Oryctolagus cuniculus: one gene and its partners. The protein of the gene in region 1 purifies or fractionates together with the protein of each later gene. This does not show direct contact. Links are inferred from orthologs where the notes say so. Each region holds a gene or a part of one and is shown on either strand. Other genes may lie near its edges. The genes, in order: ATP6AP2, ATP6V1F and CCDC115.

Region 1 (7,635 bases):
TTCTCCCAGGCCTCCCACATGGTTTCAGGGGCCAAACCACTTGTGCCATCTTGCACTGCTTTCCCAGGCACATTAGCAGGCAGGTGGATCAGAAGTGGAGCAGTCAGGACTTGAACCGGTGCCCATATGGGACGCCAGCACTGCAGATGGTGTCTTAACCTGCTGTGCGATGGTGCCAGCCCCAAGACTGAATTTTTTGTTCAGATGTTGCTGTGGTCTAGATTAAATTAATCCCAGGCACACATGGGATACTACAAAAGATGACCCATGTGCTAGGCCATAAGGCAGATCTCAACAATGAAGAATTCCATATCAGATAACCACAATGCAGCTAAATCTGAGCATAAAGACAAAATGGTTGTTTAGGATTGTGTTCAGATCAGCATTGGCCATTTTCCCCATCCAGTCCCGCTGCAGTGTCTGGTAACCATCAGTCTACTCTCTGTATTTAAGCCAGCTCTTTTAGATTCCACCTACAAATGAGATCATGCAGTATTTGTCCTGTGCCTGGTTGATTTCACTTATCGTAACGTCATCCAGGCTTGTCAGTGTTGTTGCAAATGACAGGCTTCACCCCCTTTTTGAGACTGAATAGTCCTCCCTTGTGTGCATACGTCACACTTTCTTAATCCTGTCACCTGCGGGTGGACCCTGGGCCTGCAGCGGACACGGCGTGCAGGTGCAGACAGCCCTTTGGCGTGCTTTCATTTCCTTCGCATACACAGGCTGAAGTGGAATTGCTGGCTCAGGCGTTAGTGACCTGTTGCACAGAATGGTGCAAGAATGGCATAATAATAATGCATTGTGTTCTTCAAAATTGGTTAAAGAGTAGATTTTAGATGTCTTAGCCACAAAACAATGATAAGTACGTGAAGTGATGGATTTGTTAACTAACCTGATTTGATCATTCCACGATGTGTACATGTGTCAAAACAGCACACTGAACCTCATAAATATATACAATTATTTGTCAGTTAAAAACGAAAGTATGTGGAAATGATAAAAACAAACAAAAGATACGACTCCTAGGGTTTAAAATATACTGCACACCCAGCAGGTAAAGCCAAATTGGTATCTAGATATAGAGACATTACAAAAGGAAACAGAAGATCTTAAATGCTATCAGACAGAAAAGACATTATCGTTACAAAGGAATGAGAGTAGAATGATAATAGATGTCCCCTCATTGTCACTGCCACTGCGGACCAGGAGAGTCAGAAGGGAGAAGCAGTGATTGTGGGGTGTAAGGTAGGCTGCCAGTATTACTTACCTAGCGTCATAATGAAACAGTGCTAAGCAGGGACAATGCCATGGAACGATTGGGAGGCTGGAGAGACGGAAAAGGATCCCGGCGCTGGCAGGGGCTGGGGCTGTGCTTGGGGTGTGGGAGAGCTCATCCTCGTGTTCTAGAAGGGACAGGACACAGGAAGCGCCTCAAATGGAAACATCGATTCAGTGAGCTGAGTGTCTTATTTAGAGCAGGTGGTAAAAACAAAAGGAAGTAATTGACGGATTGCAAGCTGAGTCCCTCAGAAGGAATGCAAAGTGGCACAAGAAGTCTTATGGACCTGTTCGTCTCTTTAAGCCATGTGTGTATGTCACTTTGGAAAGAAATTTATTCTAAAAAATCAAGAAGAGTTGGAACAAATAGATACACTCTTAAATAATGCGTGGCTTGAGGAGGAAGTCACTGTGGGAATTTCTACAGTATTTGGAAGTGAATAGCAATGAATGTGGCATATATTTGTTACAAAGTTGTAGGGTGCAGCTGAAGTGGTAAGAGAAGGGAAATGTATAGCCTTACCTGTGCATGTTAGACAATTTAGATGGAGCACGATTGGAAATTAATGAGCTTAAAGAAACCAGAAGAGTTTCACAGGAAGTGCGAGTAAAGTGGGAGGGAACCATACAGATGAAAAGGCAGATTATTTTTCCCCCAGGAGTATTTATGTAATGTATTATGCAACTTCGGAGAAAAATATTATAGGAGATTTCCTTTAAATAAAAAAGTCCAAAATGCCATTTCACGATTCCCAGCAGCATGTAATCACAAAGTAGACACTGGCAAATGGCCCGGGCGCATTTCACACACCCGCAAGCTGGGGAAGGAGCTCTTTCTACTGCTTGCCCCTGATTGGCCGCTCTCAAAAACACTTTTCCCCCACCAGAAGCTGCTGAGACGTAAGGCTCAGAGCACAGACCCTTCATGATATTTTTTAAAACCTAGAAGTGTTAGCAGAGATGGGTGTGATAGGGTCTTGTCTGCTCGCAAGAAAGAATTCAGACGTGAGCAGAGAGTAGCAAGGTGTAATGGGGTGGGGCAGCCATGAGAACAGATGGGCACCTCTGCACACAGACTCTGAGAAAGAGCGCCCACTCACTCGGGCTGGGGAAGGCAGGGTCACAGGGTTCCATGGAGAGAATGCACCTGGCAGGCCGGGCGGGCGGCTCAGCAGAGTGCTGAGAGCTGAGCGCAGTCTGTACTCACGCTGGGGCTTCTAAGGGGATGGGCCCAGTTCTCTCCGCGTCTCCCCCTCCTCCTCCTCCAGGACGAAGGGTTTGCTGAGTGTGCGTTAGGTGAATTCCTCCCAAGGGTTCAGGACGCGGTGCTGTCAGACTGGGGGGGTTCCTGGCGCCAGGCAGAGGGGCTGCCCCTAGGGTGCCTGCCCTGGGGGAAAGCTGTGAAGGTTTTATTGCTCCACGTTGTCTGGTGAGGTAGCCCACGTTGTCTGGTGAGGTAGCCCACGTGGGGCTGAGGAGAGAGGATCTCGGGAGCTTTCCTGGGGCGGGAAGGCTGGGACCGCCTGGAGAGTTACTGGGCTCTGGGCAGGACTTGGTAGTGTGAAATCCTGGGCTGCTTCCCAGGGGAGCTTCTGCAGCTGCTTTGTCTTCCTTAGCCCACTCCCACCCCAACACACTTTCTAACTTCCACCCGGCACCCAGTGCCGTCTCACCAGTGAGATGTGCTGGCGAGTCTCTGTCACTTGCTCATGTCGGAGAGTACTTCAAAGAGTTTGTGGGAGATGGAATTACAAGATGTTTATTTTAAGACCTCTTGTATGCATGTATTTCAACTTTTTTGCACCAAAATAAACTTGTCTTTCAATTCCATTTTTCCTTGAACATTTTGAAGTATCTTGTAGTCCCTCCAAAGCCTGAGGAAGTGAGCTTTCTGATGGCAAAGGGAAAGCGCTGGCAGCCGACTCCAGGAGGCTGGCAACAGGAAGCTTTTGCAAGTTTGCACCCTCTTCAGTTACTCATTAACTCATTTTAAGAAAGTTTTTAGAAGAGTTAATGTGCATCCTAAGTAAGAGAAAAAATTGATTTCATTTTGCAGTATCATGAAATTGATAAGCTTAATTTTGATGCTGGGATTTCATCAGCAAGATTTATATAATCACATCGATTTCTGCCTGTAGCACATTAGCATTAATTTGCTACTTATAAACATGAACCGTTCAGTAGGAAAGGGAACTACTGGAGGAAAAAAATCACTACTGCTTGTTTGAGTACAGTAATATAAGGAATAATTTTTTGAGAAGAAAATATATATATATTTTTAAATATTTATGTGAAAGGCAGATCTGCAGAGAGAGAGGGAAAGACAGAAAGGCCTTCCATCTGCTGGTTGACTCCCCAAATGGCTGCAACAGCTGGGGCTGGGCCAGGCCAAAGCCAGGAGCCTCTTCCAGGTCTCCCACATGGGTGCAGGGGCCCAAGGACTTGGGCCACCTTCCGCTGCTTTCCCAGGCACATTGGCAGGGAGCTGGATTGGAAGTAGAGCAGCCGGGACGCCAGCACAGGCAGTGGCTTAACCTGCTGTGCCACAACGCCGGCCCCAATATATATTTTTAAATCACTTAAAGCAAAACAAGTATATGGGGCTAGAAGCCAGAGGGTGGAGGAGAGTGCCTCCGGGGCGCCAGCGTGCTCTGTGTCTTGATGTGGCTGCTACCCCAGGCACATTCCCTCGGAAGCCCTCGTTGAGCTGGGACCTTAGGGTTTGCGCCGTCTGTTGTATGTATGTTAACACTTGGCTAAAAAAAAAAGTTCAGTGAAAAAGTAGGTCTTTTCACAGCCAGCCTTTTCAGCTAATACCGTCATGTGGTCCCGAGATAAAGGCTTCAGAATTCTGGGGTGTGCTCTCCACCCCTTGTCTATGGGTCTTCAGGCCAGCTGAAGACAAACTCCAAATCTTAGGGAACATTTTTAAACTTTGAAAAGAAAATGAGGTCTGTTTTCTCTTACCGTTAAATTCAATAAATAATAATAAATGAATTCAGATTCCTTTAGCCTTCTCTTCGATGCAAGTTAATACTTTGCTGTGGAATGCACAATTCGATATGGTACATTTAATCAGTATTGAAACCAAATGTTTTGCTGCCTTGGATACACGAATAACCAGAAAATGGTCCGCGTTAGACCTGGGCCAATTATTTCCCACTTAGGCACACTGGCAGATCCCGACTCGGCCCACTAGGGGGCGGTTTCATCTTCTGTGCCCTCCACAGGGGGTCTTTTTATTCAGAAGTGATTTGTGTCTTCTAAATTTCCATAGAAAGTGCTGGTGCCTTCTCCTTGTAAGGCTCCTTTTCAATGCCATCTGAATGATTTTTCTTTCCACTTCGGTTCAGATAATAATGGTGGTTTTTTTACTCTTCTATTTCAGGCAGTTCCTTTTAGTCTTGACAGCGTTGCAAATTCCATTCACTCCTTATTTTCCGAAGAAACTCCTGTAGTTTTGCAGTTGGCCCCCAGTGAAGAAGTGAGTAATGAAGTTTTTATTGATGCTTTTAAAACTAACCTTTCATTATTTCATGATAACAACACTAACAATTTTATGAAAAGCGCTGTGAGACCTGGGTAAATTGGGATTAATCTGTAGACTGTCACGTAACATCTGGGATTCTCCTCGCAGAGAGTGTATATGGTGGGGAAGGCAAACTCCGTGTTTGAAGATCTCTCGGTCACTTTACGGCAGCTTCGTAACCGCCTGTTCCAGGAAAGCTCCATTCTCAATTCCCTCCCCCTCAATTCTCTGAGCAGGAACAATGAAGTAAGTGGAGTGGTTGCTGAATGAGCAAATGAAAATCATCATTAGTTTCCTATTCCTTATGCCGTTTGAGATTTTAGAAAATGAAAGTTGTGCAAGTTTTCTGCTGTAGTAGATTCTCTGTGGTTGTTCTCATATAGAGCTCGTGAGTAAACTGATTGTTTTTGTGAACTGAGCTGTAGAAAATAGTATTACCTTCTAGCATGAGGGTCCGGTCCCCCTCCACACACACTGCCACCATTACTCAAGATGGGTCAGAAATCGTGTCTCCTTGGCGGCTAGCGGAACCATGTAGTCCTGGTCACATGGAAGCCATTGTTCAGTGCTACTGCCACTTTTTTTATTTGAAAGGCAGAGTTACAGACAGAAGCAGAGAGAGAGAGAGAATCTTCCATCTGCTGGTTCACTCCCCAGATGGCCACAACGATGGGCTGGGCCAATCTGAAGCCAGGAGCTTCTTCTGGGTCTCCTACACAGGTGCAGGGGCCCAAGGACTTGGGTCACCTTCCACTGCTTTCCCAGGCACATTAGCAGGGAGCTAGATCAGAAGTGGAGCAGGTGGGACTCGCACCGGCACCCATATGGGATGTCAGCATTGTAGGCGGCAGCTTTATCTGCTACGCCACAGCACTGGCCCCTTCCGTGAGTTTTTTGAAGTCCCCTTGTACAGCTCTCTGATGCATATTTAAAGTAATGCTCGTTTCCTTTGGCTCTGAAGGTTGACCTGCTCTTTCTTTCTGAACTGCAAGTGTTACAGGACATTTCAAGTTTGGTAAGTTGCCTGCTCTCATTTCTCAGTTCCATTTGGCCTAGTTTCTAGAGAATTCCCTGAATGATAGTGAAGACATTTGAAAAGTTTATGCCCAAGATTTGTGATCTCATGAAAACTGGGAAATTAGTGGTGGTGTTGGGAGTTGTAAACTCATCTCATGTTAAAGACCAATTACTTGACGTTTCTACTCTTAGGAGAGACAATATATCCTCCAAGGACACAGACCTGGGAATAAGAACGCCTCAGCTGTAGTCCTAACTTGACCATTGAGTTCTTCTCAGACACTAAGACTTACTTTTTGCATCTTTGGGCCTAAAATAGAAATAGCACTTTGGGCTAATAGTGCTGTCGAAAAAGTCAAGAGGAACTAAATCTGTCTGAAAGGCATTTTTGTGGTGAATGCATTTTAGAAAATCATCCTTGTGACTGAAATCAAAATTCTTACCTATCTGCTTGCTGCTGAAGTTGGTTCCTAAGCTTTGCAGCAGGTGTTGCTTTGGGGGAGGGAGAAGTTGTGGAACTATAGTGCTGGGACGCTAGGAGGTGGTCTCGGAGGGCCCGTGGGAGGCGTCTCCCCTTTGGCCACCAGTGGCTCGTGTATTCCTGAGGCCAAGCCAGGCCAGCCATCTGTTCTTTAACCCCCGGGCTCGTATCTGAAGTTTTAGAACTAAGGCATTTTGTGATGAGCTTTTATTACATATTCAGGGGGTCCGGAACTGCTCCTAACAATGAGATTTGTGTTAGGTGGGTTTTATCAAAAACCTCCGCTTAAAGCCAGTTCCCCTCGCCCCCACTTTAGACTGTCTGTCTGCCGTGGCATGCTGCTGTGGTTCTCTGTAGCCCAGTGCAGTAAGGCATAAAACCTCAGATGGCTGTGTCTGATGCTGTACTTCATCCATGATCTTGTTTTATTTGTTCTGCTAAGTTGTCACGACATAAGCATCTAGCCAAGGATCACTCTCCAGATCTGTATTCGCTGGAGCTGGCAGGCTTGGATGAAATTGGGAAGCGCTACGGGGAAGAGTCTGAGCAGTTCCAGGATGCTTCTAGGATCCTTGTGGACGCCCTGCAGAAGGTAAATGCCCCCTGGGTAAGAGAGGCGGGGGCACGCCCGTCTCACGCTGAGCCTCACGGAGAACTGCTCCATGAAACACGGGCAAGTCTTACGTGTCCTCTGCGGGGGACCTCTCCGCACAGTGGCCAAGGACAGAGCGGGATCAAAGGTGGCGTATGTACATTGGGATACTTTTTCCTGACGTTGGAAGGGGCAGCATTAGGAAATGAGTGATACATCTGGTATAGTACTGTGTGTGTGTGTGTGAATATATAAAACTTACCATTGGAACCATTTGTAAGTGTATGGTTCAGTGGCCTCAAGCATATTTACATATTGTACAGCCATCACCACCTCTATCACAAGAACTTTCTTATTTTCCTCAGCTGAAACTCTGTACTCATTAAGCACTGTGAGATAGCCAAAGTAGAATACCTAGCACGGTGCCAGACATTTAGTAGGTGCATAATAAATGCTTGTTCTCTACCCTTGAAGTTGCCCACCTGCAGATCTCTAGTTCTTTGTAGAAGTTTGTGATTAACCAGAGAGGACTTAGGAAGACTGCTGTTTATTATTATTGATTTTTATTTACTTGAGAGGCAGAGAGACACTTTCCAAATGCCCACAATAGCCCAGGCTGGGCCAGGTCAAAGCCAGGCCCAGGACTCATTCCAGGTCTCCCACAGGGGTGGCAGAAACCCAAGTTCTTGAGTCATTTACCTGCTGTCCCCCGGTGTGGGCATTAGCAGGAAGCTG
Region 2 (8,095 bases), on another chromosome or scaffold:
TGTGGGTGCCAATGACTCAGTTCAAGAGCACCCGAGAGGCTGAGCAGGACCAGGACCCGCCTTGCTCGGTGGGCCTGGCTATCCCATGCCGGTCCCCAGGCATTGTGGCGCATGGTGGCAGGTGCACCAGGGAAGACCCGAAACACTTGTAGCTGCAGCTGGTAACCACCTCCTCCCCGCCTCCTCACCCTTTAAGCTGCTTCTCTTCCCGCTCAGGGAAGGAGGGACCCTGCCCTCCTTGCTCTGGACCCTGCCCCCAGGCCCCGCAGGAAGCTCCTGAGGACAGAAGTTCCCTTTTACCAACCCTGTGTCTTCGGCCCCTGATGATAATCCCACTTGATAAAGGGTGGCTGCAGGAAAGAGCGAGCGGGTGATGAGTGTGACGCTGTCCCTGCCCCTTCCGTGACTGGCAAGCGCATGGAAGGTGCTGTGTCCTATTAAGCACCCGGCACTCGTGACCCCCGCAGGCCAGCTGGGCGCCAGGCACTGCGCCCAGGGCTCGGGGCAGGCCCTTCCTCCCACCCCTCCTGCCCCCCGCCCTTGCATGGAGGGCTTCCTCTGAGGGTTTGCTGCCTGCCGACTGTGTGTGTGGGTGCATTTCCGGGTCTCCAGCCCAGCCGCTCGGGGCTCTGGGTGCTGAGTATTCATGGGCCCTTTCTCACTTCATCCCCAGAACAGCCCTGTGAGGTGGGCGCAGGATTAGCTGAAGAAACCCGGGCTCTGAGAATGGAGGTCCTGGGCCCAAAGCCACCCACTGCTACGTGAGGGGCCCGCATTCAAACGCAGGGGTGTGCACACCCCAGGCCTCTCGTGGGCCAGCCATGCGGGCATCTCACGCGCTCCTCACACACAGCTCGTGCCCGACGCTGGGGATGTCGTTTGTTGAAAGGGAAGATAAATGAGTGGTCCTTTCCCCTTCAACCTCCTCATCTCACAGAGTCCACTATTTCCGGAACATTCCTCATGTCATTTAGCTGCACACACCAGAAACCTGGGAATCACCTGGGCGCCTCTCCACCTTGCTCTCCACATTCGACTCAAAAACCAGTTTCGGGGGTGGGTGTTTGGCACAGCTGTTAAGATCTTGCTTGGAACTGCTGCACCCCATGTTGAAATGCCTGGGTTCAACACTTTACCGGCTTTACTCCCAATTACAGCCTCTTGCTAATGCAGACCCTGAGAGGCCACGGGTAATGGCTTGAGTAATTGGGTTCCAGTCACCCACACGGGAGACTTGATTGAGTTCCTGGCTCCCAGCTTTGGCCTGGCCCAGAGCTTACTTGTTCGCTCACGCACTCTCTCTCTCCTTGTCACCCAAATAAATAAAATAAGCAAAAATCAGTTTGGGAGCAGGTGCTTAGCCTAGTGGTTAAGACACCAAACTCTGGGCCCAGTGCTGTGGCATAGCGGGTAAAGCCACCGCCTGCAGCGCCAGCATCCCATATGGAGCTGGTTCAAGTCCTGGCTGCTCCACTTCCAATCCAGCTCTCTGCTATGACCTAGGAAAGCAGTGGAGGATGGCCCAAGTGCTTGGGCCCCTGCACCTGCATGGGAGACCTGGAAGAAGCTCCTGGCTCCTGGCTTCAGATTGGCCCAGCTCTAGCTGTTGCAGCCATTTGAGGAGTGAACTGGTGGATGGAAGACCTCTCTCTCTGTCTCTCTCTCTCTCTCTGTGTCTGCCTCTCCATAACTCTGCCTTTTAAATAAATAAATAAATCTTAAAAAAAAAAAAAGACACCCAAATCCAGGGGCTGGCATTGTGATGTAGCGGGTTCACATCCCAGCTGCTCCACTTCCAATCCAGCTGCTTGTTAATGGCATGGGAAAAGCAGCAGAAGATGGCCCAGTGTTCGGTCTCCTGTCACCTATGTGCATGTGGGAGACGCAGATAAAGCTCCTGACTCCTGGCTGTGGCCTGGCCCGCATCCCAGACAGGAAGACCTGAGCCAAATTCCTGGCTGCAGCGTCCCGACAACGCACACCCTGGGAGGCAATGACTCCAGTAACTGGTCCCTGCCACCCCCAGGGGAGACCTGGGTCACATTACCAGCTCCTGGCTCTGGCCCAGCGCAGCTCTGGCCGTTGCAGGCAGTGAAAGGGGGCTTTCTCTCCATGTCTGCCTCTAAAACAATTAGGGTTTGTCCATTCTTCTCCAGCCACCTCCTCTATGACCACTGCTGGAAATCGGCCACCATCTCTAACCACAGAGGCGTCCCAGTGTGCTCTCTGCTCCTGCAGCCCCGCCTCTGTGCACCACAGTCACACGGGCAGCTCTAGAACCGCTGTCCTCAGGGAAACCTCCAGATTCTTTAACTTTTCCTGAATGCCCTATACTCTCCAGTGCAAGTGGTTTTTGCCTTACCTTGAACACTTAAGATGGGTGCAGGGGCCCAGGCACTTCAGCCATCTTCCGCTGATTTCCCAGGCCATGCAGGGAGCTGGATCGGAAGTGGAGCTGCCCGGACTCGAACCAGTGTCCATTTGGGATGCAGGCGCTACAGGTGGGTGCTTAGCCTACCACGTCACAGCACCTGCCCCTCAGTTTAACTTCTAATTCCATTCTCCCACAAACTTTCTGTATTCAGTAACTGTTAACTATGAGTCATGGCTACATACATACATACATGATACAGACATGTTCTTGCCCTTGAGAACAGCGAGTGCAGTTTCTCCTGCGGGGTCCCACAGCGCTGCTTCTGCAGAACGAACCAAGCAACGCCAATAGGAAGCCGTGCGGCCGCTCAGCCTTCTGGGAATCGTAGTCCTCGGGTTCGGCCTCTCTTTATGGCGCAGGCATATTCAGGTTGAGGCGGCCTTGCTGTTAATGCGCATGTCCTGGAGGCGGTGTGGCCGAACTGCGCATGTCTGAAAGGCGGGGGCGAGGCCAACCCGGCTACAGGTGCGGAAGCTGGGATTCGGGGACTTCGGGAGCTCGGGGCCGCTCTCTGCGCCGCGACCAGGATGGCAGGGAGGGGAAAACTGATCGCGGTGATCGGAGACGAGGACACGGTGACTGGCTTCCTGCTGGGCGGCATCGGGGAGCTTAACAAGAACCGCCACCCTAATTTCCTGGTGGTGGAGAAGGACACGACCATCACCGAGATCGAAGACACTTTCCGGTACGGTCGCCTGAGAGGCCTGAACGGGCCCTTCTGCCGCCTGGGTGGGAGCGAAGGGGCGAGGGGCGGCCGCCCGGGGACCGAGGTGTCAGACCCCGACCCGAGGGCGGGCCTCCTCACGCCGGCCTGGAGGCCTCTGCGCCCCCCGTCCCCCGTTCCCTCTTGCGATTCGGTGGGCCTGAGGCTGTGGTCGTGACAGGTCCGCGCGCTCCCTCTCACATGACCGTGTGTCAGGAAAGAAGAGGAAGAGAGCTGGTGACGGGCACAGCCGGCTGCGAGCCTTGCAGGCGCTGGGCTGCTTTGCGCTCGGTGCGCACCCGTGGAGCCGGGCTTTCTCCTACTTCCACATCCTCTAGGGGCTCCCAGTCGACCTGGAAGGTGGGGGTTAGTGTTCCCATTTACAGGTGGTGGTACCCAAAGTCAGGGCTGCTCACACCTTGCACCTCACGTCCTCCTCTCCTGCCCTGGGTCAGGGGCGACGGTCGCAGCTGAGCCTTTTAATCCGCAGGTGTCCTGGTGCTAGAATGGAGCTGCCCTGGTTCCTTCACCCCTTCCCTTTGCCGAGTCTCAGGAATTCTCTCACTTGTTTCCCCCTAAACAGCCCAGCCCACAGCTGCTGGCTGAAACCAGTTCTGCTGCCTGGGGTACCGTGGGGCTTTGCCCTGGGGAGGCAGCTGTCTGCGGATCACCAAGCAGTCTGGCAGGGTGACCCGGGTTGTCATGGGACAAGGAGGAATTTTACTCCAAGGATTGTCCATGCTTCCAACCAAAAAGAAACTTCGAGATCAAGTGTTGCCGGGCACAGGGTCGGGCACAGGGTGGGTGCCCAGGACGGAGCTCTTCCTGAGAAATAACGCACGGGCCGTCCCGGGCCAGGGCTCCGCAGGGCCAGGGCCGTCTGTGCGGAAAGTGCGAGCCCTTCAGTGCTGAATTCCTCTTCCCACCTGTGCTTTGGCCTGGGCCAGGCACCCCGTCCTCCCTTAGCACAGACATGGTGACCTTGAGGCCCCCTGGGTCCTGTTTTTCGAAAATGTAATGGATTTGGTTTCCTCTGGACATTGAATGCCTTCATGTGGTTTCCAATTCAGTTTTTAAAAGGTATACATTGAGGCCGGCGCCACGGCTCAATGGGCTAATCCTCCGCCTTGCGGCGCCGGCACCCCGGGTTCTAGTCCCGGTCAGGGCACCAGATTCTGTCCCGGTTGCCCCTCTTCCAGGCCAGCTCTCTGCTGTGGCCCGGGAGTGCAGTGGAGGATGGCCCAAGTGCTTGGGCCCTGCACCCCATGGGAGACCAGGATAAGTACCTGGCTCCTGCCATCGGATCAGCGCGGTGCGCAGGCCGCAGCGCACAGGCCGCGGCAGCCATTGGAGGGTGAACCAACGGCAAAGGAAGACCTTTCTCTCTCTCACTGTCCACTCTGCCTGTCAAAAAAAAAAAAAAGGTGTACATTGAGGAGCCTCCTGCCACACACACACACACACCCCATCTCCCTGTCTGCTCCTGTAGACAGCCATTTAGCTTCTGCCTGATCACTCTCCTAGCTCTTCATGCAGATAGGAAGGGATGCATAGTTGCTGGCGCTGGGGCACAGCGGGTTGAGCCGCCGCCTGCAGCGCTGGCATCCCAAGTCCAGGCCGAGTGGCATCTTAACCGCTGAGCCGAATGCCCGCCCCACACGTATCCCCACCCTTCCCTGTCTGATAGCAGGGCAGCACCCTGAGCGCACGCGTGGACACCCTCATCTTCAGCTTTGGTTCACTCGGAAGCTCCCCAGGCAGGGGCGTACAAGCAGGCCCTGGCTAACAGAACCCTGAGCTCTTGAGTGCAGTTGATTCTGGGTCAAGCAGACTCCACCTTTGCCCTGGTCCTCTCTGCTCCCCGGGTCACTCCTCTTCCTCTGCAGTTCCGAGCGGGCCGCCGGGAGCTGCCCCGGACTCGCTTCTCGTCTCTCCCGGCAGGCAGTTTCTCAGCCGGGACGACGTCGGCATCATCCTCATCAACCAGTACATCGCGGAGATGGTGCGGCACGCGCTGGACGCCCACCAGCGCTCCATCCCGGCCGTGCTGGAGATCCCCTCCAAGGAGCACCCCTATGACGCCGCCAAGGACTCCATCCTGCGCAGGGCCAGGGGCATGTTCACCGCCGAAGACCTGCGCTAGGACACGCCCCGCGGAGCACGGCCCTCAGCCCCTCCCGCCCTTCCAGGCCTCTCCCCGGCTTTGTCCCCAGCCCCGCTCTGAAGGTTCAAGCCTCTGATTTCCACGTCTCCACTCCTTCCCACCCCAGGGAGAGGCTGTGTGAGGGGCATCTAGGTTGCTGGGATGCTGCTATTAAAAGCCAGGCTGGTTAGGGAACAGGAGGCCTGACCGTCTTCTCTCTCCACGACCTCTTCCCCGTGCTGTCGCCCAGTGTCGTTGTCCATGTTAAATTAAAGTAATATTCTGGCTTCTGTCCAAAAACTGGGCCTGGGTACTGGACAGGAAGGGGGGGGGGGGAGATGAGGCTCCTGGGGGAGATGAGATTGGCAGGGGTGGAAAATGTTCCACCAAGGACCAGGCATGGACGAGCTGGCCCAGGAAGATGTGCCAGGAGGCCCTAACTCAGGCACTGGCCCTCTGGTTCAAAAAGACCAGCTGGGGGGGTGGGGGTACGAGGCTTGAGCCCAGCCTGTGGCTCTCCCGCCTCAGTCTGCACTGGGCAGAAGGGGGCCTGAGCCGGGGGAAGTTAGCAGAAAGCACAAGAAACCTGGGAGCCGGTGATACCAGATCCTGCCCGGGGCCTGCAGCGCCAGCCGGTGTCAGGATCCCAGCACTGGGCCCGGGGCCTGCAGCGCCAGCCGGTGTCAGGATCTCAGCACTGGGCCCGGGCTCCAGGCTGCCTCAGGAGTGGGGCGTGTGAGGTCTGTGTGGGCGCAGCAGGTGGAACCCTGCCCCTGTGTGAGGTGAGGCCTGGTTGCCTGGTGACTGCCCCAGGGCGGCCACCTGCTGCCAGCCGCAGTGTGCTTGCCGTGCTCGCCCTTGGCACGGCTCCCCCACCCCCTGCCGCCATGTCTCGGCAGCTCAACATGGACACGCTGCGGCAGAACTTCTGGAAGGAGGACTATTTAAGGGAGAAGATGTTGCGCTGTGAATGGCACCGCAAGTACGGGTCGCTGGTGAAAGCCAAGCAGAAGGCTAAGGCCGCAGCCCGACTGCCCCTCAAACTGCCCACCCTGCAGCCCACGGCCCCACCCGCACCCCCTCCTGCCCCCGGAGCAGCCCCTCCCAAGGCGCCCAGCCCTGCCGCAGAGGCTCCCCTGCAGTCGGAGATGTACCCGGTGCTGCCCGCCACCCGGGCCCTGCTGTACGAAGGCATCTCCCACGACTTCCAGGGCCGCTACCGCTACCTGAGCACGCGCAAGCTGGACTTGCCCGAAACACGCTACCTCTTCCCCATCACCACCAGCTTCACATACGGCTGGCAGCTCGGTGAGCCCTGAGCCCCGCAGGTTAGGCACCTGCCCCACAGCAGCGCCAGGTGCCAGGGAGCGGGCACATTCAGGAAGAGAAGGGAAGGTACAAGAGGGACAGGCACCATGGAGAGGTCTGGGGGCTCGGGAGAGGCCTCTGGGGCCTGAAAGCTGAGCACTGCATGACAAAGAGGAGTTGGGATTTTATTGAGAAGCCAATGGAAGGTTTTAAGCAGTGGGTGGTCCTGATTGGCTTTTTTTAAAAGAATTACCCCAACTGTTCTATAGGGAATGGCTTTTTTTTTTTTTTCCTTTAGTGAGAATTGGAGACTGGTGAGTTAGGCATCTGTGTTGAGTTATCCTGGCATGAAATGACCGTGACCTGGGCTAAGGCTTAGCAGTAGCGCTGCAATCCAGGGTACTCCGGAGGAACACTCAGTGGGACTCACTGCTGGACTGAGTGTGGGAGTAAGGAGCCGAGGGAGTCCATGGCGGTGCCCCGGTGTGGCTGGAGCTGCTGTGACAGGATAGGGCTGGCGAGGGCAGGGCTGGAGGGTGCGCTGGCTCCAGGGCTGTGCTTGGGTACCAGGGAGACAGCTGTGTGCGTCAGTCTGGCTCTCAGGAGTGAGGTCAGAGTTGAACGTACAGTCAAGAGTAGTCATTATAAGTGCTACTTAGCTCTGTGAGGTCAGGGACGTCAGCTGGGGCGCCCAGGCTGCGGGGATCCGATAGGAGGGGCGGCAGATGGAAGGCCAACCGTCTAGACCATCTAGAACCGTGTGTGTTTGCCTGAGGCTGGGAGGGGAGGAGTCTGGGGAGTGGCGAGGCTGAGATGAGTCAGTGTGTGGGGAGAGGAGTGGGCCGGCAGGGCTGCTGCATCCCTTGGCTGTCTGTGCTCCTGAATCTCAAGTGAGACTGTTCAGTCCTGGTCTGCACCTCAGGAGTGTCTGTGCAGGAGGGGAGGTGGCTGGGCTCATCACCATGGAGACTTCACCCGAAAACTTCCCGTATCTTCCCCAGCTCGTAAGGGTATGATTAAGGGAGCGACCGCTCAACAAAAGCAGACACTAGATGGCAGCTGCATGTCTCCCAGTGCGTCCCTGTGGTGGGCAGGGCCAGGTGGCCCCTCCCCCGGGAGAATGCTGAAGCTGTGGGCAGTGGTGACAGGCGGCTGATCCCGGCCTGCTACCCTGGCCGCATCCAGTGTCCACTCCTGTATCTCCTTGTAGCCCACAGTCCTCACAAGTTCTTTATTTCTCCACACAAAGTTCACACAACATGGACAGGGTTGTGGGCTGTGCAGACAGACGGGGCTCCCCTGCTCTGTCGGCCTCTTGCCCAGGAACCCATTCCTGGCCCCTGGTCTCTTCCCAGGCCCCCCAGCGAAGCAAGAACTGGTCTCCTGCAAGATGTGCCGCATCGAGTCGTTCTTCCGCAAGAACGGGGCCTTTGCTCTGCTTGACCCCCGGGACCTGGCCCTGTGACCTTGGCCCAGGCCCTGGGCTTAGGACAGAGAAGAATAACAG
Region 3 (8,362 bases), on another chromosome or scaffold:
AAGGTGATGACCCGGTGGCTGTCGTCTTTGGGCACAGGGAATAGATAACGCAGTATGTCGGAGACCTGGGGCACAGGGAAGGGGAGTGTCCACGCCTGGCCTGGCCTGGCCCGGCCCCCAGCTGCATCCCGAGGGCCCCCAGACTCACGCGCTTGCCCAGGCGGGAGGTGAAGCCGTGTGTGATGAGGTGGGGCTTGGCCTCCGACATGGTGCCCAGGTCAGGGATGTCGTGCCGCATGACCACATTGCAGAGCGTGAAGTAGGCCGTGGGGCCGAAGGGCAGGTGGCTGACAATGAGCCCCACTGCAGGGGGCAGCCGGGCAGTCAGAGTCCCCGCCTACCCCCAGCCTGCCCTTCCCCTACCCCACCCTCCCGCCGGCCTCAACCTCACCAGGTGTGCCTCGGTGCTCGTGGACCACCAGCAGGTCAGTGACCCCATTGGCTTTGCAGGCTCGCACCAGGGCCCCCACCTCATGGCGGCCTCGGTTCATGCGCTGCGCACCCGGGAACACCAGCTTCAGCTCCTGCACAGGGACCACAGCGTTCGGTCAGGACGGCGGCGGGGGGGGGGGGCGTCCTGGGTGTCGTCCCCCCACCCCACTCACTCCCAGCCCACCGGTACCTTCGCAAACATCTTAAGGCGGGAACTGGGGTCCCGGGAGGTGGTGATCATGATTTTGGGGTCCTCAACCCCCGCCCACCGATATTCATCATCCATGTGGCTGGTCACACCTGTCAGGAGCATGAGGAACAAGAATACAACGCTGCTCTGGGGTGAAGGGCTACCGTGGGGCGGCCGGCTCTGTCGGAGAACGAACACACGGACACACACACACACGCGTGAGCGCGCAGTCGACGAAGGAAGTCTCCTGTGGGCGCTTGTGGCTGCCATGTCAGTGCAAATCCCAGCTCTGCTAAGGTCTACACCAAGTATCTGTAAGGTTTCAGATTCCTTTCCTCCCCGTTGAATTACACAATGAATGAAAGGTCAGACTGCCAGCGACGTGCTGGGGACACTGTCCAGCCCCGGCAGACACTCCAGGGGCAGAGATGACCAACAAGAAGCAGCGGGTATGCGGGGGTGCCACCGTGTGTGCAATCGGGAGCACCATGCAGACACAGGGGCGCTGGGGGACGGTTCCGGGGGTGACTGCTGTGCCTGTTTCCTCAGCCAGGAAGAGCCCAGCGTGTCCAAGAAAGACACAGACAGAGAGGCCAGCGGTGCTGTACTGGGGACAGGACTCAGATCCCAGGGGCAGGGAGGGCCACATGGCATAGTCACCTTCACCGCCGGCATCATCAAACTCCAGGGATCCCTGCAGGGCCAGCGCCTCCCGGCGGAGCTCGGTGGGGATCAGGCGGTTCTCTGCAGAGGAAAGACAGAGGGGCTGAGCGACACACAGCACGGACCCTCGGCTTCCACCCACATCCCAGCGCACAGCCCCCCGGAACCTGACGGAAAGATCCCTGCTCCTTTTGGAGCACAGGGGATGCAGGGTAACTAGGAGAGGAAGATGGCAAAGCAACACATTCTGGCGACGTGTTAACCTGGGAATGCTGGGTCCTGAAACTTCACTTTCTGGGCTTCCTGGCGCTCACGAACTGAAGGCTTTCTAGCTTACCGCAAGCACATGCATTATTTTTAAAGCCAAATGGATGGGTCAGCATTCTGGTGCAGCAGGTAAAGCTACCACCTGCAGCGCCAGCATCCCATATGGGTGCCAGTTCGTGTCCTGGCTGCTGCACTTGCAGTCCAGCTCCTGGCTAATGCTCCTGGGAAAGCAGAGGAAGAGAGCCCAAGTGTCTGAGCCCCTGAACTCATGTGGGACACCTAGAAGCAGCTCCAGGCTCTTGGCTTGGGCCTGGCCCAGCCCCAGCCATTGTGGCCATTTGAGGAGTGAACCAGCAGATGGAAGATCTCTCTCTTTGTCTCTCCTCCTATCTCTATAACTGCCTTTCAAGTAAATAAAAAGCAAATCTTAAAAATAAAGCCAGATAGCACAACTTTTTTAAAAATATGGATTTCTTAAGGCCTCAGCAAGGAGAGCACTGAGCGAGATGCACCGAACGCCTGCAGGTGCATGGCCTCAGCTGCTTTGGGTCAGAGGTTCCTCAGGACCACGGCTGGGTGGGCTGAGGTGCTATGCTGGGGGTGCCCTCCCTGGGGTCCAGAACTCCACCTGGGCACACCCTGGGAACCCCACTGCTCCCCAGACAAAATGGGTGTGATGTAAGAACAAACAACAGGAAAAGAACAGTTTATTCTTAAGTCACACTCCTAAGTTAGGGAAAATATTCCCAAATCCCAGTGTAATGATCGCTTGTCACTTCTTAAAGGTAGAGGGATGTGTCACCAGTACGTAACACCATGTGTACACTTCACAGGCCTAAAACCAGGGGACCACAGAGTGAATGCAGGTTCTTCCGAGGAACTAGGGGAATGCACTACCATACAGAAAACAAAGTTCCATTGGCAGAAGCACCAACAAAACAGAGATAAACCCGGCATTTCCAATCTGGCATGTGTGCCACAGACTCCACGCTGCAAGTGGCAATGAAAGATTACTGGGGCCAGCGTTGTGGCACAGTAGGTTAAGCCTCAGCCTGAATCGCCGGCATCCCATATGGAAGCCGGTTCGAGACCCGGATGCTCCTCTTCCAATCTAGCTCTCTGCTATGGCCCGGCAAAGCAATAGAAGATGGCCCAAGTCCTTGGACCCCTGCACTGCCAAGAGCAGCAGGAAGAAAAACCACGGCGGGGAAAGGCCCTCCAAGACTCCGCTAAAACATCCACGCTGGGGACGAGCCACGCGGAGGCTACAGCGCACAGGGCGGCTCCGCGACGCGACACAGCACGGGCAGGGGTAGACCCACCGGGAGCCGACCCCGCCCGCTCGACCCCACACCCTACCTTCGAGCGCGCGCCGGACCTTGTCCTTCCTCTCCTGGGCCGACCGCTGCGCCTCCTCGCGGGCCTTGCGGTACAGGTACTCGCGGCGCAGGCGGGCCTCGCGGCGCAGCTATCGAACAACAACTCCGGTCACCACCCGCCCCAGGCCCGCAGCCCCAGCGCCAGCCCTCGACGAACCGCCGCCCCCCGAAAAGAAGAGCTCCAACCTCACTCCTACCATGATGGGTGCCCCTTCCACGTGCGAGGCAGGAGAGAATGTGGAGACCGCTTGAGCGGTGCTGCCCTCACTTCCGCCCTCACTCAGGAAGGGCGCTCCGAGGCTTCGCAGCAATCGCCTACTATTGACAGCGCCCGAAGTTAAGGTGGCGAACAGAAGAAGGGCGCCTCCAGGCGATTGGCCAGTCCGGCGCGCGTGCTCGCTGGAGTAACCAATAGGCTGGAGGCAGAACGCTGTCACGTGACGTGGGAGGGCCGTTAACAAATACGTCGGCCGCCGAGGGCTTCCGGAGCGGCTACCCACGGGCGATAAACTGCTACAGCAGTCATGATTGACGACTCGAGAAAACCTATCGGCTGTAACAGTAACACAGAGAATAATTGGGAAGGTACCTGAAGGCGCCTTCTGTAATTAAAGCCACTCTTTCCTTAAAATGGTTGCCAAACGGCTTCGCCTTTTTCCATTGCTATAGTGGTAGGATGATTTTTAAAATGCCACTTCCTCCACATTTAGCCCTCGTAGACTGTGCAGCTGGTTGATCTACTTGGGGCATTAATTGAGGAACTCGGCTCCTATACTTCCCGCCGGGAGCCTGCCCTTAAACTGCGTGATGCGATGAGAGTCTAGATACCGTTGGCGTGTCCGGGTCCTTTGGATGGGAACGCCCCCTTGGGGCGTGTCCCGCATGCCGATTGGCTGATTGGGCGACCTGAAGGAGGCGGCTCCAGACCCGGTCCTCAGCCGACCCGAGACCGAGTGTGGCGGCCCCATGGCGGCCCGGGACGTGCGGACGGAACTGGATTCGCTGATCCTGCAGCTGCTCGCGGACTTGGAGGAGCTGGAGGCGAAACGGGCGGCGCTGAACGGCCGTGTGGAGGAGGTGAGCGCCGGGGGTGAGCAGGGGGTGGCACTCGCGCGGAGGTAGACCGAGTCTCCAGGCTCTCGCTTCTCCACAGGGCTGGCTGTCGCTCGCCCAGGCGCGCTACGCCATGGGTGTCAAGTCGGTAGGCCCCCTGCAGTACGCCTCCCGCATGGAGCCCCAGGTGTGCGTGTGCGCCAGGTGAGGAGCCTTGGGTTCCGGAGCGGGTGGGCAGGGTGCAGGGCCAGGCCGCCGACACTGTCCCTTTTCGTCCTCCAGCGAGGCCCCGGACGGACTCCAGAACTTGCGAGTGGTGAGAGCCGGCGCCCAGATTCCGGAGGAGGTGGGGCCCCGCGAGGCAGGTGAGCCCCCTCCCCCTCTTGTCGGGGCCCCGTCCCGATGTCACGGGCAAAGTGCACACGCAGTCCAGGAGACGGTTCCGTTCAGGTCTGGAGATCATCGTGTCTAAGTAAGCGGAGGGTTACAGAAGTGTTGTAAGCGGTTTGCTGTCCAGGGAACCGGAAGTGCCCATCTTGTGTCCGAGCGACCACCTGCCGCTCCCAGTTAAGCATCCCTGAGACCGAATGGGCAGCTGGCGGGTCCGTGGCCCGTCAGCACGTTCAGGCAGGTGGGTAAGGTCGCTGTGTGGCCTCGTCCCGGGCAAACAGGGGCCTGTGAGGGAGCGAGCTCAGAGAGTGTCATCCCAACCCTGGGAGGCAGGCTGGCTGTTTCCAGGAACGCGAAAGGCCGGGGTTTTCCAGCCAGCAGTGTTTTCCAAGAATCACGAGCTCACCATTAAGCTCAACACCGTTTCCCAACCCCAGCCTCCTCCAACGTCTCCTTCCCCAGCTCTGCGCCGGCGCAAGGGCCCCACCAAGACGCCGGAGCCTGAGTCTACCACAGCGCCCCAGGACCCCCTGAACTGGTTTGGAATCCTGGTTCCTCACAGTCTGCGGCAGGCGCAAGCCAGTTTCCGGGATGGTGAGTGGTCGCCGTCATTCTGGAAGCCCAATCAGGAGTAAAAGGGACAGACCCCTTCCCTAGACGTCTGTTTTGTGGAGGGGAGAAAGACAGGGTGCAAAGAAGTAGGCCCTTAATGTAAAACTTGTGGGGAAAAAAAAAAAAAAAACACAGACTGCGGGGTGGGGGGTGGGGGGGTGTAGAGAGGATCTCATGTTACAGGAAGGATGGAGGCGGTTGGTACAGTGGCAAGGCCAGGAGCTGAGGGCAGGGGATCCAGGCCTCTGGGCCCAGGTGATGCAGGCCCCAGAGAAGAGGACCCTGGGAGTCCGAGGGTAGCTGTGAGCAAGAGATGGCACAGTCAGACTCCCAGAATAACAGGCATTGTTTGGGTCCGGCACTTGCTGGGGACAGACTGGAGAGCAGGGGGAGGGAGCTGGTGCCAGGAGCAGCCAGGTGTGCGATGCAGGTGGAGGCAGTGGAGGGGCACGTGTGCCTGGAGGGACCTGCGTGCGTTTTGAGAGTAGAAGCCCCGGTATGTGCTGACCAATTGGATGTGGGGGTCAAGGGGAGTCAAGGAGAGTCCACAGTCTCTACCAGATGGATATCGGTGGCAGCAGGGTGTGGGTGCAGGTGTGTTCTGAGTGAGGTGTGGTGTCCACCATGCCCAGGGAGAAGCTGAGTGGGTAAGTGGGCACACGTGCCTGGAGCTTAGGAGAGGCCCGTGCTGGAGACACATTCAGGAGCCCACTCCATAGTGCGGTGTCTGAATGACCATGTGGCTGACACAGATGCAGGGTTAAAGCAGACACAGGTTGAAATCAGCACGGGCCTGGGGGTGCAGAGAGGAGACTGAGGAGCGGCACCCAGAAAGCGGGGGTGCTGGAAGCCCAGAGGAGAACGTTTTCTGGTGGGAGCGATGGAATGTGTGGTCAGCACTGCTACTAAGCGGGCCACCAACAGAGCAGCATGGACAGCAGCTGTTTCTGTGGACACTGGGCAGAAAGCGGATCCGGGGTGTGGACTCTTCTGGTGGAGGGAGAGTGGGTGAGAGCAGTGAGGGCCTGTGACCGGCGGAGGGAGGAGCTAGGATCTGTGACTTGCTAGTGAGTCCAGGGGGCCAGGGAAACCTGAGGAGGAGGTGCCATTGTAGCATCCCCCTAAAGGAGGTGAGGGTGATGAGGGTGTGGGCTCAGCATGGTTGTAGAGCAGCCAGGGCAGGCCCCCTGCCTGGAGCTTGTCATGAGCTGTATGGAGGACAGAGGCCACAGTGACCCTCTCTGCTTCTTCTCCAGGCCTGCAGCTGGCTGGGGACATTGCCACCCTCCAGATCCGCATCAGCTGGGGTCAGAGCCAGCTCCGGAAGCTCCAGGAGAAACTCAGGCAGCTTGAACCTGGGGCTGCCTGACCTGCGAACCCAGGGGCCAGGGCCCAGAGCACAGCTGTCCAGGGATGTGGCTATCTCGCCTGCCGTCTGCCTCCTTCATGAAGAGCCCCTGCCCCTGGCCGCAGCCCAGCTAATGTCCCCTCCTTCCAATGTCCCTGGTTTCCACGTTTGAAACTCGGTTAGGTGTGAAGTTTGAAGAGGAGTAATGTTGAAAACCACTGCTTTGAGACCACCTCCAGGCCCATGTTGCCTGGGGCGGGTACACAGGCTGCTCACTGCAACAGTCATTTAGATGGGTCAGCTGAGGCTCCACTGTGGGGGAGGGGAGGTGGCTGCCACGGCAGGGAAGACCCAGAAGTAGTGCTTCCGGCACACTGGCTCCTCAAAGGGGCCGAGTGGAGGGCGGGAGCTCCAGGCTGTGGCTGCACCGACCTCGGTTGTCAAGGGTCCCGGTTGTCAAGGGTCCCGTGAGGAGAGACCCTCGGGGCTTTTCAAAACCTGCCTTTACCTTACCCGGAGCGAGGCCAGGCCTCTGGTCACGTGTTGAGGGGCCATTTGTGTTTCCCTGTGCGGGAACTCTGCCCTCGATTCCTTTTTCCACTGAGTTGGTCTTTTCGGCCATCTCTAGGAGCTCTTTCTGTTTGGGGGGAATTCGTCCTCTGTTCATAATACCAGCTGTAAAATGTTTCTTTCCAGTGTGTCTTTTAACTTGGCTTATGGGGTTGCTCTTTACAATTCTGTATTATGAAATAAAACCTCGATCAAATTGCACAAAACAACGGAATGGCTTAGGAAGTCGGGCGTGTCAGCGGTCGGGGCCGCGGCTGAGCAGGGCTGAGCGACAACCCGTGGCCGGGGCAGGGAGTGGGGCTGCGTCTCGCTCGCCCCTCCAACGCCGGCCTTCCTGACCACCTGGGGCTGCAGCCCGGACCGGGGCCGGACTCGGAGGTGGGCTGGGGGAGTCGGTTTCCCGCGGCGCCTGAGTGGGAGCCTCCAGGCGGGACGGCCCACCGCAGCGTGGGGCTCATGCCGGCATCCCGCAGTCCACGCTGGGCCAGCTAGGGAAACAGGCCAGAGTACGGACGCGGCCGCAAGCTCGGGCCACGTTGGGACCACAAAGTCTGCCTGGGCACACCAGTCACGGCCTCGCGGGCACGCTCCGCAAATGGGCGGAGGGGGACAGCAGATTCCCGGCAAAGCGCGCTCCACCCGCCGTCTTGGCTTCGGGTCACAGTGCGGATGGGGCCGGGGCTGGCGCAGCCGCAGTGAGGACCAGCTGCCGGCGGGCGGGGCGGGGCGCGCGCTGTGGTGCGCAGGCGTGTTGGGGAGGTGCGCGCGGCCACGCTGATGTAACAGCCGTATGCAGACACAGGAACCACCCATCATCAGTTCCCATATGGTCTAGCGGTTAGGATTCCTGGTTTTCACCCAGGCGGCCCGGGTTCGACTCCCGGTATGGGAACGAAGAGTTCGTTTTTCCTTTTTCTCGTTTTGTTTTTTGCTTTCCTCCTTTCTCCTTCTACCCTTGGGAAAACTTGCTCCTTGCCTTTGGTTGCTACCTGTGGCTTGGAAATATCCACGTGGGTTTTGTTTTTAGGCATTACAACAATTTGTCATTGGAAGCTAAGTAGTTTTCCCCCGTTTGAAAGTGGAGAAGCCGAGCCCCAGCGACTTCAGGGGCGCGTGCTGTCGCGCAGTGATCCAAGTGACAGTTTTCATCACAGGGTTAGCTACTGTTCCGTCCATCAGTAGCTCACTGATGACGACTCTGTTGGGTGCCACGTGCACTACAGATGTGAACAATATTATAAAACTGAAAAATAATGCTGTCTGATCAGAATGTGCTGTCGAAGTCCGCTGTGTGTGTGTGGGGGGGGAGGCGCCCCTCCAGCTCCTCCCACACAAGGCAGCCCACCCCTCCAAGCCCCCATCAAGAAGGAAAGCTGGGGAGGGAGAGGGGAGGAAGGGGAGAGGAAGGAGAGGAAATAGAGGAGGGAGAAGAGGGAGGAAGGAGAAGGGGGAGAGGGG

What was found.
Region 2: the proteins of ATP6AP2 (region 1) and ATP6V1F purify together in Homo sapiens (affinity purification with mass spectrometry; 3 studies listed by BioGRID and IntAct, counting the BioPlex papers as one, with this or other methods). This does not show direct contact. The link is inferred for Oryctolagus cuniculus from reciprocal best matches to the Homo sapiens genes ATP6AP2 and ATP6V1F.
Region 3: the proteins of ATP6AP2 (region 1) and CCDC115 purify together in Homo sapiens (affinity purification with mass spectrometry; 3 studies listed by BioGRID and IntAct, counting the BioPlex papers as one, with this or other methods). This does not show direct contact. The link is inferred for Oryctolagus cuniculus from reciprocal best matches to the Homo sapiens genes ATP6AP2 and VMA22.

Annotation. Positions count from the first base shown.
Region 1 is NC_091453.1:26,471,751-26,479,385, forward strand, and holds part of ATP6AP2 (renin receptor), read left to right. Parts: intron 1-4,669; coding exon 4,670-4,765; intron 4,766-4,918; coding exon 4,919-5,056; intron 5,057-5,771; coding exon 5,772-5,825; intron 5,826-6,750; coding exon 6,751-6,900; intron 6,901-7,635. UniProt on the Homo sapiens protein: Multifunctional protein which functions as a renin, prorenin cellular receptor and is involved in the assembly of the lysosomal proton-transporting V-type ATPase (V-ATPase) and the acidification of the endo-lysosomal system.
Region 2 is NC_091434.1:165,053,306-165,061,400, forward strand, and holds ATP6V1F (V-type proton ATPase subunit F), read left to right. Parts: upstream 1-2,756; 5' UTR 2,757-2,961; coding exon 2,962-3,119; intron 3,120-5,078; coding exon 5,079-5,280; 3' UTR 5,281-5,580; downstream 5,581-8,095. Other genes in the region: protein SPMIP1, read left to right, coding at 6,168-6,588, 7,944-8,053. UniProt on the Homo sapiens protein: Subunit of the V1 complex of vacuolar(H+)-ATPase (V-ATPase), a multisubunit enzyme composed of a peripheral complex (V1) that hydrolyzes ATP and a membrane integral complex (V0) that translocates protons.
Region 3 is NC_091434.1:120,827,536-120,835,897, forward strand, and holds CCDC115 (coiled-coil domain-containing protein 115), read left to right. Parts: upstream 1-3,390; 5' UTR 3,391-3,897; coding exon 3,898-4,008; intron 4,009-4,084; coding exon 4,085-4,188; intron 4,189-4,266; coding exon 4,267-4,349; intron 4,350-4,836; coding exon 4,837-4,968; intron 4,969-6,242; coding exon 6,243-6,355; 3' UTR 6,356-7,110; downstream 7,111-8,362. Other genes in the region: U3 small nucleolar ribonucleoprotein protein IMP4, read right to left, coding at 1-65, 149-303, 392-524, 623-732, 1,283-1,366, 2,912-3,020, 3,129-3,131. UniProt on the Homo sapiens protein: Accessory component of the proton-transporting vacuolar (V)-ATPase protein pump involved in intracellular iron homeostasis.